Linked DNA regions of Astyanax mexicanus. The protein of the gene in region 1 purifies or fractionates together with the protein of each later gene. This does not show direct contact. Links are inferred from orthologs where the notes say so. Each region holds a gene or a part of one and is shown on either strand. Other genes may lie near its edges.

The links. The genes of interacting proteins can lie anywhere in the genome.
Region 2: the proteins of ryk (region 1) and pcdh7b purify together in Homo sapiens (affinity purification with mass spectrometry; 3 studies listed by BioGRID and IntAct, with this or other methods). This does not show direct contact. The link is inferred for Astyanax mexicanus from reciprocal best matches to the Homo sapiens genes RYK and PCDH7.

The regions. Positions count from the first base shown.
Region 1 is NC_064412.1:48,568,353-48,575,832, forward strand, and holds the start of ryk (tyrosine-protein kinase RYK), read right to left. Parts: upstream 3,043-7,480; 5' UTR 2,529-3,042; coding exon 2,321-2,528; intron 1-2,320. UniProt on the Homo sapiens protein: May be a coreceptor along with FZD8 of Wnt proteins, such as WNT1, WNT3, WNT3A and WNT5A. Involved in neuron differentiation, axon guidance, corpus callosum establishment and neurite outgrowth.
Region 2 is NC_064415.1:22,293,935-22,301,818, forward strand, and holds the start of pcdh7b (protocadherin-7b), read right to left. Parts: upstream 3,209-7,884; 5' UTR 1,945-3,208; coding exon 1-1,944.

The DNA.
Region 1 (7,480 bases):
ATACTTTAACATTTTGAGATTGTCTCATTATGTTCAAGGTACTGACGTATTATTTGAAGGTACATTTGCTAATACTTAAAAAATGTATTTAACAAAAAAGACTCTTTTAGATACAAAGTCATTATTATAATAATTTTGAGATATTCATTATTTTGATAAATTAAATTATTATTTTGAGATCTTGATAGTTTGACCACCTTTACTCACAATACAGAAATATTAAGTTTAATTATCAGACACGTTCTCAGGGTTTTAAAATAGTCTTTATATTTTGAGGAACTCTTTTATTACTTTGAGTTACTGCCTTATTATTTTGAAGCAGTCATTTTCCAAAGATGCTACTTGATTATTCTGAGATACTAAGTTAAAATTCTAAGAAACACTCTAGTTTGAAATGCTAATTTTGTGATGTTATATAATTAAATTTTGTCAATATTAAGGTTTGATTATTTTGAGATACTAAATTGTTAAATTGAGATATAATCTCATTTTGTGATATTTTTGGTATGATTATTAAATGCTTAATGCTTTTCGATTAAACAGCATAGCTTTGCTTGGTCTGAGCTCCCATACGAACATCCTCCTCTCTCTAAATGACTTCTACAGGACTGATAAACACTGTTAGCCATTAGCTGCCCTGCATGGAGATAGGTTAGCCAACAGCTGCTGGACTTTAGTTAAAAGTTAGTTTATTCTACTCAAAAAAAAAAACATTTTAAGTCCTAAAGGAACATTTACACTTAACACACAAATTGGAAAAAGACACTCCACTGGAGCTGTATCTACTGCTTGCCTTTCCAGCTTACTAACTAATACTAGTCAAAAGTTTTGGCACACCATTTAATTTACTACATTATAAATGAATATAGACTTCATCCAGATTATGAAGGAACACATAAGGAATCATGTAGTAACTTAAACGTGTTAAAGAAACCAAAATACTCTGTGAAGAAGCATTTAGGTGCTCTTATCTGAGGAGCTGTTAACTTGAGGTTTATGATGCTGGCAACTTTGATGAACTTATCCTGTGCTACAGAGGTAACTCTTGTTCTTCCTTTCCTGGGGTGGTCCTGATGAGTGCCACTTTCATCATCAACGTTTTAATGATCATTGCAACTGCACTTGAGGAAACTTTCAAAGTTTTTGATATTTTAGATTGACTGACCTTCATTTCAAGTATTTTTTCTGTGCATAATTGAGTAGTTACTGCCACAATATGGATTAGAACATTACTCAAATAGGGCTGTTCACTGTATACCAACTGTACCTCTTCACAACTTTACAACTGATGCTCTCAAACACATAGAGAGGCAAGAAATTCAAGTTATTAATTCTTGATAAGTTCAGCACAGCTGTTAACTGAAAGCCATTCCAGGTGTCTCTACCTCATATAGCTGACTGAGAAAATGCAGCCAAGATGGGTAAAGCTATCATCTAAACAAAAGGTGCTACTTCTAAAATATAAAACATACTCTTTGTTGTTTACCATTTTTTTGTGTGTTTTTCTTCATAGTTAGATGACTATGAATATTCTCATTATTTTAAAACTCTTTTTTTAAATATATTATTTTTCTTTATTTTAAAATACATGGTCCTTGTTTTGGGACACTCATTTGAGTCGTTTTTTTTTTCAAAATCTCAATTTGATTTCTCATTGTCTTGGAATGATTTCTCGTTAATATGAGCTAATTTCTTGTTATTTTGAGATTATTGTCCGGTATTTTGAGATGGTTTATCATTAGATTTTTAGTGACTTCTCGTTATTTTCAAATATTCTCATTTTGAAAATTTAATCCATTCTTTTCAGATAATTTTTTGGGTAGTTTAAATGGTTTCTCTTCATTTTAAGAAGCTAACTGATATTTTGAGATACTTAATTATTCAATACTCATTATTTTTGAGATACCTAAAACATTTAGACATGTTCATTATACTGTATTTTGAGACTCTCAATTTAAGGGAATTGAGACCTTTATTTGAGATAATATATAAAAGAACTGTATTTCTATAGTAATAACTTATCCTCCTCCACAGGACTCAGGACTGATAAACAGTGTTAGCTGTTAGCTCTAGTGTAGCTAACAGCTGCTGGACTCCAAGAGAAACTGAACTTTATTTATTAATAAAGTTATGTAACGCTAAACCAACACTTTTAAACCATAAAACACATAATTTCACACTTTATAACACAGCCTGGGCTTCACTCCGCTGGAGCTGAAGCTGGTTTACCTGCTGAGTTACCAACTTTATTTCTCCAGTGTTTAGTAGGACACAGCGGGGTAAACTGACCGAAAGTTTTCGGACACTCTGGGACACTTACCCAGCAGCTTCTTCACCTCCTCTTCGCTCATGAACACGTTCACACTCGGACGGCCATTCCCGTTCAGCGGCGGCGCTCCGCCGGGCTTGGCGAGGCACAGGGCCCCTTCCACCATCAGCAGCAGAAGCAGGAGGAGCGGGCAGCCCGCGGGGCTCCGGAGCGCCTTCCCCGGCAAGGCGGGGGACAGACCCGGGCGATTCGGCGGCATGGCGGCTCACTCTCCGCTCTGTAGGTCTCCGCTTCAGCCTCGCAGCTCAGTCCCAACCTCATCCGAAGCTTGAGCTGCCTGCTGAGGGCAACATACTCGCTAGGTTAGCTAGCAGTTAGTTAACTTAACTCTCCCGCGGGAGGAGGGTGAAGGAAGCCTCGGCACTCTCCGGCTGCCCGGCTGCCCAGCTGCCCTCCACCTCCTCCACCTCCTCCACCTTCACCACCCCGCGACTCCCGGCCGCTCCTGCTGTCCGAGCTAAGAGGCTAGCTCCTCGGCTAACTTTGTTTAGGCGTCTCGCGGGCGTCTCGCTTGTGTACGGAGCAGCAGCGCAGAGTTTCCCTGTAAGAAAACTCAGTTAAAACTCTTACTTCTCTTCTCCTGCTATAAAAAGTAAAATTAAAATGCAAAACTCCGCAATTTAGTGTAAACTCCAGCGCCAAAAAGTCTCCGAGTCCAGCGCTCTCCTTTCATAGTGTTTCCTCCCCCTCCGCTACAATCTCGGCTTTCACTGAAGAAAGGGGGCGGGGCCACCCAACAACGCCACTGCGCATGCTCACGCACATATTACACTATATGGACAAAAGTGTTGGGACACCTGCTTATTCATATACAGCTATGGAAAAATTTAGAGACCACTTCAGTTTCTGAATCAGTTTCTCTGATTGTGCTATTTATAGGTATATGTTTGAGTAAAATAAGAATTGTTGTTGTGTTCTATAAACTACAGACAACATTTATCCCAAATTACAAATAAATATATTGTAATTTAGAGCATTTATTTGCAGAAAATGAGAAATGGCTAAAATAACAAAAGAATGCAGAGCTTTCAAACCTTAAATAATGCAAAGAAAACAAGTTCATATTCATAAAGTTTTAAAAAGTTCAGAAATCAATATTTGGTGAAAGAACCCTGGTTTTTAATCACAGTTTTTATTCATCTTAGCCTTTCTTCTCCACCAGTCTTACACACTGCATTTGGATAACTTTAAGCCACGCCTGGTGCAAAAATTCAGTTCAGCTTGGTTTGATGGCTTGTGATCATCCATCTTCCTCTTGATTCTATTCCAGAGGTTTTCAATTTGGTAAAATCAAAGAAAAATCACTTTTAAGTAGTCTCTTATTTTTTTCCAGAGCTTTATGTTTTGTTGTTGGAGTGTCTACTGCCCAGTGAAGAAGGATTTCTACAAGATGATTTAGTACAATAGACATTGCTGTGAGGATTTGATTGCATTCTTATCCTCAGCAACTCCTTTCAACAGTATTGGACGGAAGCCCGCTCCAAAGGGTCCTATTCTATTGGCAGCATTTACAGCATCTACAGGCACTAGACAAGGTGTAACTTAAAATACAGTTTAAATACCAGTTAAAGTTTGGACACACCTTTTCATTCAATGTTTTTCTATATTTTTCATTTAATTTATTGTCAAGATTGTAGATTAATATTAAAGACACAATGTTTTAAAAACAATTAAGAGACACATATAGAATTAAGTAGTAAACAAAAAACAGTTTGTATTAAACCTGATGAACTGAGATGGTGAGTGGAGGTGATTTAGGATGAGCTGGAGCTTCACAGCAGCCTGAAGGAAAAGCAGCAACTATTGTTCAGCACCTCCAGAAACTCCTTCCTTCAAGACTCTGAGATGATTCTCCCTGATGAAGACACTGAGATTAAAGTACCAAGAGTGTGCAGATCTTTCTTCAAAGATAAATGTGCTACTTAGGACAATCTAAAGTATAAAACATATTCTGGTTTGTCTAACACTTTTTGTTTACTAGTTAATTCTGCATGTGTTCCTGTATAGCTTTAATATAGTCATATATATATATATATATATATATATATATATATATATATATATATATATATATATATATATATATATATATATATATATATATTAAATGTACAATGTAAAAAAAATAATAAAAAAAAGAAAACACATTGAATGAGAAAAGGTGGTACTGCAGCTGATTGCTGCTAATACTGCATGCATAATGCTTCATGCCCGAACATATTTGGACATCTAGTGTATATATCATAGTGTCTATAGATGGTAAAAAAAGGAGTTATACCCTATACCCTAATTCACTATATGGACAAAAGTATTGGGACACATGCTCATTCAATGTTTCTTCTACGTTTGTTGGAGTAACTGTCTCTACTGTCAAGGAAAAACCTGGCATAAGGCATAGTTCCAACAGGTTCATCTTTGTTTATCTATTCCAGAGTCCCTATTCTATTAGCAGTACTTCTCTATGAGGTCTAGACAAGCTGTGTGTGTGCTTTTGGACATCTGTGTCAGCAAAGAGCAGAATGTCTTTATTGAAATGGGTTGCCAACAAACATTTGAACATATAGTGTACACACAGTTTTTAATTAATTACGATCTGGGGACATAAGTCAAATACCTGGTTTGTAGGGACACATATTTCCTGTTATATACCTCAGTGAAAGAACATCACACAGTCTCAGGAGCATCAGAGCATCAGTGCAGTTCCTGAATAAACTGCCAGTGTGACTGACATTCAGCAGTGTGCTGTGATATAGGTTTTGTTTGCTAATGTGTTGCTTTGTAGATATTGCAAGGTGGTTACTAAGGGGTTGCTATGGTGTTGTAATACAAAAAAACATCCAGGTGAAATAATAAAAAAACAAGATCAAAAAAAGTTTAAGCCCCTGAAACACTAATAACATAATTTAATATTTTCACCCTGTCATATTGGGAAAAACAGCATTAATAGGGACCCCACTTTAAATAATACAGACAGTAGCTGAAATAATATTATATTCTAAAACCCCTGGTGATCAATTACAAAAAAAGTTTAGATCTCTCTGCATTCTCAGCCAAGTACTAAGTCTTGTTTTGCTTGGGGATCAAATACTTTTTTCACCTAATCAAATAAAATGAATTTCTAAAATTTGTTTAATATATTTGTTCTGGATTTGAAATGATATTCTGTCTCATTTTGTTAAAATAAACCTATGATAAAATCCATAAACTTGCAAAATGAGCAGATGATCGAAATATTATTTTCACCACTATAGGTGGATTCTTCACCAGCCAAGAAGCAATAATGCACAATCCTGTGTGTTTGAATCATTGCACAAAAACAAAAACGTTTAGCTTACGAGAAATTTTTTGTTATTTTTATTAAAATGATGGATTAATTGTTTTCTATATGGAATTTAGTAATCTGATGTCATGTTTAAATTACTTGACAGCAACTCTTCTTTACTAAGACATCTTGCATTATCTGTACTACATGCAGTTGGGAATGATGTCACTCATGAGTTGATATGCTCTGGTCACACATTTAGATAATTCTACACTATTTCAGTAGATTAAAAAAAACAGTTAGCTTAAGACTTTAACACAAGATTACCACAACTGGTTTGACAGTCTTTTACTGAGGTTTTGAGAATCCAACCAAAATATGTTCTCCATATAAACATAAACTAGTGTTTGAGTATGTAGTATAGATACAATTGTGAAAGTTGAGTACACAAATATCCACTTTACATACTCAGAACTGATCATCACTTTCTTTTAGTATGAAACACGTTAATACATTAAAGGGGACATTGTGCAAAACTTACTTTTTGCATGCTTTTGTATTTCCACTTGGGTGTCGCCTGTCCCTATGAACACATTTTGCCAATTCCCTTTAGGTTGAGAACCTCAGAGAGTACACAGCGGGATTAGCCAGCAGACTTTGTCTGAAGGAGGGATCTGTACTTACTGTCCGTGGCAAGTCAGTAGATGAGGGAGATGTAAGTTCTTTTAAATAATTAGGTTTGTGCTTCTATCACAGTTAGCTTGTTTGTATCTTGCCATTTAGCACAAGCTAAGACTAATGCAGGGTAAATGCTAAGTGTAAAAATGGCATGTGGCCAGCAACAACTGGCTGTGTAAAAGTGACAGAGCCCTTAAACTCATTCTGGAAGAGACTGAAACTGTGAAGAACTTCATGAACATATTTTGTATATCTTATACACCTATTCTAACCTCAAAAATGAGGTATAATATGCCCCCTTTAATATAAAGCCCACACTGTTAAGATTAGTAGTACACAATTACTGTTTGTGGAACAATTTTCTATTTTTGGAAATTGCTTTTCAAGAGGAAATAAAATAAAAAGACACCAAAAAAGTTTTATATTTTTTATTATTAAAATATTCACCTACAAAACAACCTATAAACACTATTTACAGGATAGCTAGCAGAGGAGTCTGATTTATACAAACCCAGAGACTAATGCGGCAGTCTTCCAGTACTGTTCATGCTGTAGTTGAGTGGGTGTGGAGGGAAGAGTCATTTTTATCACCTGTTTATTTGGAAGGCTGTATGAGATGCAGGAGGTGTAGGATGGAGATGCAACAGGTTACCATTTACAGAAATTCCCTGAGGGACTACTCAGCCACGTAATTTCAATATCATAAAACATTTCCATCTGAGGTATGATATCTGATGCAGGGTAACTGCTAGAATGTACTGTACACAATCATCTACAAAACTGGAGATGTGTAGAAACTGTCCGTAGAACTGCTCGGTCACTGACTCTGCGTGTGATGGTTCTGTGTTTGAGTTCTGTAAGAAGAGTCTGTAAGATCTGAGGCCCATGGTACTGCATATCCAACCTCCTGTAAGAAAATAAAAAGGAATTAAATGAAAATAATTAAAGAAAATATATACTAGTGCATCTCACAAAATGAGAATATCATTGACAAAATACTTTATTTCAGTATTTCAGTTTAAAATGTGAAAGTCAAATATTATATAGATGTATTACACACAGAATGATCAATTTTAAGTGTTTATTTATATCAAGTCCAAAGTTTTGTTCTTACAGCACTTCATGCTTCCCTCTGCTGACAACTTTTATAGAGATGCAGATTTTATTTTCCAGCAGGACTTGGCACACTGCCCACACTGCCAAAAGTACCA
Region 2 (7,884 bases), on another chromosome or scaffold:
AATGTACAGGCTCATCTCAGCATTCTGCCCCTTATCTGAGTCCATCACTGTGACCATGCCTACAGGGCTGTTGGGCTGCAAGTTTTCCTTCACATAGAAAGTGAATACGTCCTGCATGAACTTTGGCTCATTGTCATTCTTGTCTGCCACAAGCACCACGACTGTGGCTGAGCCCTGCATGACAGGCACTCCTTTGTCTTTGGCAATAACCTTGAACTCATAGCGCTCAGTTTGTTCTCGGTCAAGTATGGTGTTAACACGAATGTCACCACTGTCTGCATCAATGGAAAATATTCCGTTCACTGAGGAGTCCAACGAGTAGAAAATTTCTGCATTTTTGCCACTGTCTGCATCCAAAGCCACCACAGTCGCCACACGCTCACCTGGGGCGTTGTTTTCTGGAAATGAGACCTCCACTGTACTTTTGGTAAAGATTGGCGGGTTGTCATTTATGTCTCCAACTTTTACAATGAGTGAGTTGTTGCTGGACAGGCTGGGGCTGCCTGAATCCACGGCCACGATGACAACATTGTACTCCTGTACGGCCTCGTAGTCGAGCGGTGCTGACGTATGCAGGAAATATTTCTTCTTGTTCATGTCACCTTCTATCTCACTTGCTGGCTTCAGCTGAAAGGGGACATCACCAACCACTGTGCATGTCACCACACCGTTTGGTCCCTTGTCACGATCTGACACTTGGACAAGTGCAATGGGTGTGTCCACTACCACATCCTCTGCCACATTTGCCACACCGTCCCTCAGGTAGATGCGCCCAATTTTTCTTATGTCGATATTTGGAACATTGTCATTTTCATCCTTGATGTTAATGATCATAGTTGCTTTATCAGTCTTAGGGGGCTGACCACGGTCCCTTGCCATGACTGTAAACCTCAGCTGACTTACTTCTTCCCGGTCAATCCTGTGCAGCACGCTCAGCCAACCTGTGCTCTCGTCTAACCGCAGGAGGCGCCGCACAGATTCAGTGGCTGCCCCAAACACATACTCTATCTGCCCATTGACCCCCACATCGGCGTCCATCGCTTTGAGCTGGAGGATGGGGGCACCGGGAGAGCTGTTCTCGGGCAGGTCCGCCTCGTACACGCTCTTCTCGAAGCGCGGGCTGTTGTCATTCACGTCCGTTATCATCACGCGCAGGATGGCCTGGGAGGAGCGCGCGGGGTCGCCCCCGTCCCGCACGCGCAGGGTCAGCTCGTAGGAGTCGCGCTGCTCGCGGTCCAGCGCGCCTTTGATAATTAGCTGCGGTTGCTTCTCTCCGTCCGTGGTGTCGGCCACTTGCAGCTCGAACACGCTGCTCCGACTCTGCGCGTCGTCGAACCTCCTCTTGCCCGAGTGCGCGTCGGTGCTTGCCGAGCCCAGGCGCCTCACGGAGCTCTCCGCGCCGTCTTGGATCAGCTCGTACCTCTCGATCCCGTTGCGCCCGAAGTCCCTGTCCGTGGCGGTGGGGAGCAGGTACAGCGTGCCGATGGGCCGGTTCTCCTCCACGGAGAGGGTGAGCACGGGAGAGGGAAAGGACGGCGTGTTATCGTTGATGTCCAGGATGATGACTTTTCCTTCAAACAAGTCCACCCAGCTTTGCGCGGGGCCGATCACGGACACCTCGAAGTCAATAAAACACTCGTTCTCGTCGAAAATCATCTGACACTGCTGCAGCTTCTCGCGGTCGATCCGTCGCTCGTTGGTGCTCAGGTCCCCGGTGATGTTGTCAATCTTGAAGTAGTCGGAGCCGGACTCGAGCGTAAACGTCACCTCGCCGGACCCGGCTACGATGCCCAGGTCGGCGGCTACATTCCCCACGCGTACGTCCGCGGGACCCTCCTCGGCCAGGCGGTAGCGCAGCACCTGCTTTGCCACCGCGGGCTGACTCAGCAGCTGCAGCAGGAGCCAGCAGTAGCATATACAGTCCACTGCGGTAGAAGTCCTCATCGCTCCGGGATGATTTTTCACTCCAAAAAAATAAAAGGCAAAAATATAAGCAATAAAAAAAAATCAAACGAATGAATCTGAGCTGATCAAATTTTTGTGCTGATTCTTGCTGCTTTTTCTTTCTTGCATATATTCCCACCTTCTCTGTCCTCTTCCCCTTCTTATGCTTTTCCTTTACACCTCAGTCCTTTTTCCTTTTCTTCCTTACCATGAACGTCTCCTGCCCCCCGTATTTAATTAAGCGTCCAAGTCAAACACAAGCACAAGTTCGAGTCCGAGCGAGTCCGCACAGCAAGAGTCTCTCTTTTCCAGCGCTGCGATGTGATGCAATTCGTTCAGCACATGGCAAAGCTGAAGCAAACGCTGCAGTTTTCGAGTTAATTTATTTAGGCTTTTTCTCCTTCCTTCTTTTTTTTCGTTTAGAACAGCAAAAAAGAAAAATAACAAATGAAAAAAAAATCAGTAAGAAAGAAATGAAAAAAAGAAGAAAAAAAGAAAATGATCTCAGTCCGTTTGGGTGTGAATGAAAATGCTGTTAAAATCCAGTCCTCGCGCGCGCCTCCTGCATGTTTTCTCTCTCATTTATTCCCCTTCTCTCTCTCGGTGGGATTCGCACAACTTCTCCTCGCGCAGAAGAAGCAGAAACAGCAGAAACGGCAGCAGCGGCGCACTGAACTGTCCTGCCGCCCCTCCGCCGAGATTTCTGCAGCCGCCCGCCACCGACGACGACAACACGCGCGCGCACTCCCTGCCTCTGCCTCTCTCTCTCTCTCTCTCTCGCTCCCTCACTCCCTCTCACACACTCCCTCTCATACACACATACACACGCGCACGCACGCACGCACGCACACGCCAGCAAGCAAGCAAGCACGCAACGCAAGCAAGCACGAGCGCGCGCACGCTCTCTCTCTCTCTTTCTCTCTCTCTCTCTCTCTCTCTCTCTCTCTCTCGCTTACACACACACTTGCTCCCTCACTCACACAAGCATACACACATTCACACAAGCACGCCGGTTTAGAGTTCCCCCACTTGCATGGAATGAACGTGTGTGATAATGCTGAATAGTAAAAAAGCGTAAAGACAAATACGTAATTATTGCACGAAGAAAGAAGAAGAAAAAAGAGAACGAGGAGCACGAGGAGCCAATAAGTCACCGTCCCTCCCTCCTCCCCACTGTCCTGCTTGTCTCGTGCGTGTATCGTGTCCTGCGCACCGCCGCGGCGTGTTGTACCCCGCTCTGCACCCGCAGCACAGCACCCAGCACAGAGCGCGCGCGCGTTTGTGACACTCCACAAGCGATTCGCAAATGATGTTGCAGACCCTTTTCTTTCTCTCTCTCTATCTCTCTCGCTTTCTCTCTCTCCCCTTTGCGCGCGCGACCGCCCGCGTGCGCGCACCCCAAATCCTCAACTCGCTGAACTGAGTTTTTTTTTTTTTTTATTTATTTATTTATTTTTTATTCTGTTTGTTTGTTGGTTGGTTGGTTTCAGGCAATCCGATCAGAAGCGCGAGGACAGAGATGATCTAATCTAAATGCCGCGTGATTAGGCTAGACTACACCAAGCGGTCGTGAGGGAGCGCGCAAAAGAGAAGGAAGAGGTGCAAGATGGCACCGTGCCAGAACTCAGTTCGGTTCCCCGCGCTCTCCGGGGCTCCGCTGCAGAGCCGCAGAGCCACCAACTCACCGACTCAGCACAGACAGCGCAGAGCGCGCTCCCGCGCCTCGTAAGCGCGCTGACGCGGCGGCTACTGTAGGCGCGCGCGGGGCGTTGCGTTCTGTGGGTCAACTTTTACGCGCGCATGTGTTTTTTTTTTTCATACTGTTTCAGAGTCCGCGCGCGACATGGTCATTAGATCATTATCAGACAGACGCGCGCGGGATCGACCAGGAGTTCCAGTACAGTGTGTGTGTGTGTGTGTGCGCGCGCGTGTGTGTGTTACAGTACTTCGTTCATATTCACAGTTATACACCAAGCAAACACGAACACGGGCACCACGGACAGCGACTGGGAGAGAATGGGAGAGAGAGAGAGAGAGAGAGAGAGAGAGAGAGAGAGAGAGAGAGAGAGATTAGAAGAAGATAAAGGATAGACACAGAACCACAGAACGAGAGAGTATAAGAATGGAGGAATGAATAAAGCTAAAGAGAGGAATAGAAAAATAATTGGGGAAAGAGAAAGTTTAAAGTACTGGAGGAAGGGAGAGGGAGAGAGAGAAAGCAGTCGAGAAAGAGGTTGTATGGAGAGAATGAGAATGAAAAAAGAGTGTGGGGAATGACGGAAGAGAAAGAGAGGAACGGAGAAAGGGAACAGAGAGACAGAGGGCGAGGAAACAAGGATGGAGAGAGAGGGAGAGAAAAAGAAGAGACTGACAGTGTATGGGTTGTGAAACAGAGAGAAAGAAAAGAGAGAGAGAGAGCGTAGGGATGGACGTGGACTGAAACTGAAAGTCAGTCAGGGAGAAAGAGAGAGAGGGGGGAGAAGGATGGAGAGAGAATAGATGGACGGAGAAAAGAGAGAAAGAAAAAGACGGACAGAGAGTGAGATGAACGGTGAAGGGAGGAACACGAGCAAGACTGTTATAGAGAGAGGATGAATGGAACGATAGAAAAAGGAATACTGCTACAGAAAGAGAATGGATGAAGAAAAAGGGAAAAGGATGAGAATGGCGGGATGTAGTGAGAGGGGAAGGAAAAGAGAGGTACATAGAAGGTGACAGGGTGGGAGAAGAGGAACGATGGAGAGTAAGACTGGCATAGAGTGATGGAGAGAGAGGAAGAGGATGGATGGAAAGAAAAGGGGGTGAATGAAGAAAAGGAGATAAAGAGAGAAGGTGTGGGTATGGATGGAGAGCAATAATTGAAGGAGAGGCAGATATCAAAACTCAGAGGACGGATGGAGGGATGAAGTGAAAGAGAGAGAGAGGCTGTGTATGTGTTTGCGTGTGTGTGTCCCTCTTCTCTCTGCTCAGTCCGTGATCTGAAGTCTAACAGCCCGGACTGTGTGTGTGTGTGTGCTCCAGCGCGTGTGAGCTGTTGGGACTGAGAGTGGGGTGTGTGTGTGTTTGGGGGGGTCTGTGGTGTAGACGGTGGGCTGTCAGTGCTGATCACGCGCTCTCTGTTCGGGATGCGTTTACAATAATGTGAAACTGCAGCCCTTTATGAGGTCCCTTCCATTAAACAGGCTGCATGCAGCTGATGCGAGTAATTACTGCTAATTACTCAGATCTGGGAGGGGAACAGTGTGTACGCGCGCTTATTTGCACTGATAACCCCCTAAATATGAGCAATATTGGTCTGAGTGGGGCTCTGAACGCGCGCGCCCTTGTGTATGTGTGTGTGTGTGTGTGCAGACTGAGAGTGTTTCCCTTGCTTTTTGCTTTTTCCCACTCTGGTCAGTCAATGCGCTTCTCCTGCTGCTGCAGCATCAGCTCTCTGCACTCCAATCGCCGCTACACAGCGCCCTCTGTCGTCCTCTTTCATTCAAAATCCCTCTATTACCTATTACACGTTATAAGGCCTCATACGCAGACTCACACACTGTATCACACATGTTCTTTGCTCCCTTTGTCTTCTTAGTGCATTAAAAGTCAGTATTTGATCCTAAGTCAGCTCTGACCTGCAGATCTTTCTACTTTTTTAGCTCGTGCCACATGTCAGGGATCAGTTTAATTCAGATTCCCTGCTGAAAGAAAGAAAAAAAATCAGGTGCAGCACTAATTAGGCCTTTAATGACATTTGTAATGAGTGCTCTCGAAACCCGCTAAAGGGGGTCACCCTTTCTAACACGGACAGCAAAAGTGAGGGGGTCAACTTTTTAATATAGTGGCATTTATTTTTAGATCTCTCTGGTGTGAGCACCTGACTCACACACGCCGTGTCCAAGCAGGACCCTACTTAAACTCCAGTGCACTACATAGAGGGCAAAAGCCATTAACTTGTGCTCTATATAGCACACGGCATAGGGGAACGAGCAGCACCGGATTAGCAAGGAGTCAAGACCACTCTCTGCTGGTCAGTTAATTAAACACTCATGGTATTTAATCCAATTAAGTGTCATACTGTTTGCATGGGGCTGTGCAGACATTCCAGACACAAAAGCATCCGGATAACTGTCCTGGTGGTCTAGATCTGCAATGAACAAGCAGCAAAAGAACAATTAAACTAATCAAATGAACATTAAACTTTAATCTTTAAAGCTTAACCTAAATCTAAGACTCATTTTTCAGTAACTACACTGTAAGCCCAGATAAGTTAAACTTACTTTAAAAATGTGAGGAAACCGGTTGCCTTAAAAAAGTTAAATAATGGGGAATGAAAACTTAAGTTTTTACAACTAAAGGAAAAGTTGATTTAACTTTTCTATTTTTGTTATATTGTAAGACTGGATAAGTTGAGTTTCCTTAACTTTCTTAAGGCAGCCGGTTTGCTCAAATGTTTCAAGTAATGGGGAATGAAAACTTGAGTTGGCATAAATTAAAACATCAAGTTATTACAACTAAAAGGGAACTTGATTTACTTCTAAGGTAGCCCAAGGGGTATCACTAAACACTGATGGTAAGTGTCAGAAACTGTTGGACACACCCAGTATGCAAATAGATTGTGAAAGAAGCCAATGGAAAAGAAGCTGCCAATGACAACAGTTATTAAACTCAATTATTATAATCTGGTTCAACTCAAAGATCTCTGTTTGAATGTATATATGTGCCCACAAATGGTCAACTAACTCAAAAGAGTTAAGAAATGTTTAGAAATATCATATAATATATATATATATATATATATATATATATATAATATCGTATAATTTATGTAAAACAGACTTTTTGGAGTTTAAACAACTTCTGGGTTTACATTGTAGTAAAGAAGATTGTAAAGAAGAAGACTATCTACCTGTATCAGTAACTGCTATAAATTGATCTGTATCTATTATAACTGATTGAGCATCTATAAACGATTAAACCTTCACACATAGACCTCTCTCTCTCTCTCTGTTACGGGAGACGTCGGAGGGGTGTGAAGGAGGAGGACGTAAGTGCAAAGATAATATTTATTTTAAACAAACAAGATAAATCAAATCAAAACAAACAAAACACGGGTAACGCAAAACAACAAGGCTTGGATAATATAAACTGAGAAACACTGACTAAGAAACTAAGACGAGGATACAAGAAACACAGACTAAGAAACTAAGACTAGGCTACAATCGGACTGCAGGGATACAAAGATACAGCATACAAAATACAAAATACAAAAGACTCGACACTGAACATTCTAACAGAGGGGCTTAAATACAAGAGGAGAGTGAGAAACACCTGGGCTAGGAAGACGAGGGGGCGGGGTTACAAACAGGACACAGGTGAGAACACTGATGCTACAGGGCAGGGCTGGGGCGGAGCTAGGGTGGAGACAAATACTAACAACAACAATAGCACATGGCTGTGAACACTGACAGGAAAACAGAGGGGCAGGAGCACAAGAGACAAAATAAGGGAGAAACAGAAGACAGACATGGGCTAAACTGTAACATTACCCCCCCTCAACGGCGCCACTACCAGAGGCGCCGAGAGAGAGGGAACAGGGACTGGACTGTGGACGGAAACAGAGACTGGACAGGGGACCGAACAGGAGACGGAGACTGGACAGGGAACGGAGACTGAGACTGGACAGGGGACAGGACACAGGGCTGGACAGGAGGCTGGACACGGGGCTGAGACTGGACAGGGGGCTGGACAAAACTGGACCGGGGAACTGGAACAAATACCTGGACAGGGACGGACACAAACACAGTGACAGGGACGGGAACAGGAAAACCACCGGGGACAGGAACGGGAACAAACACAGACACGGGGACCAGGACAGGGAGAGACACGGGAACAAACAAAACTTGGGGATGCCCAGGACTGGCTAAAGTCTGTGGGGTAGTTAGAGGGGCCAGCCTG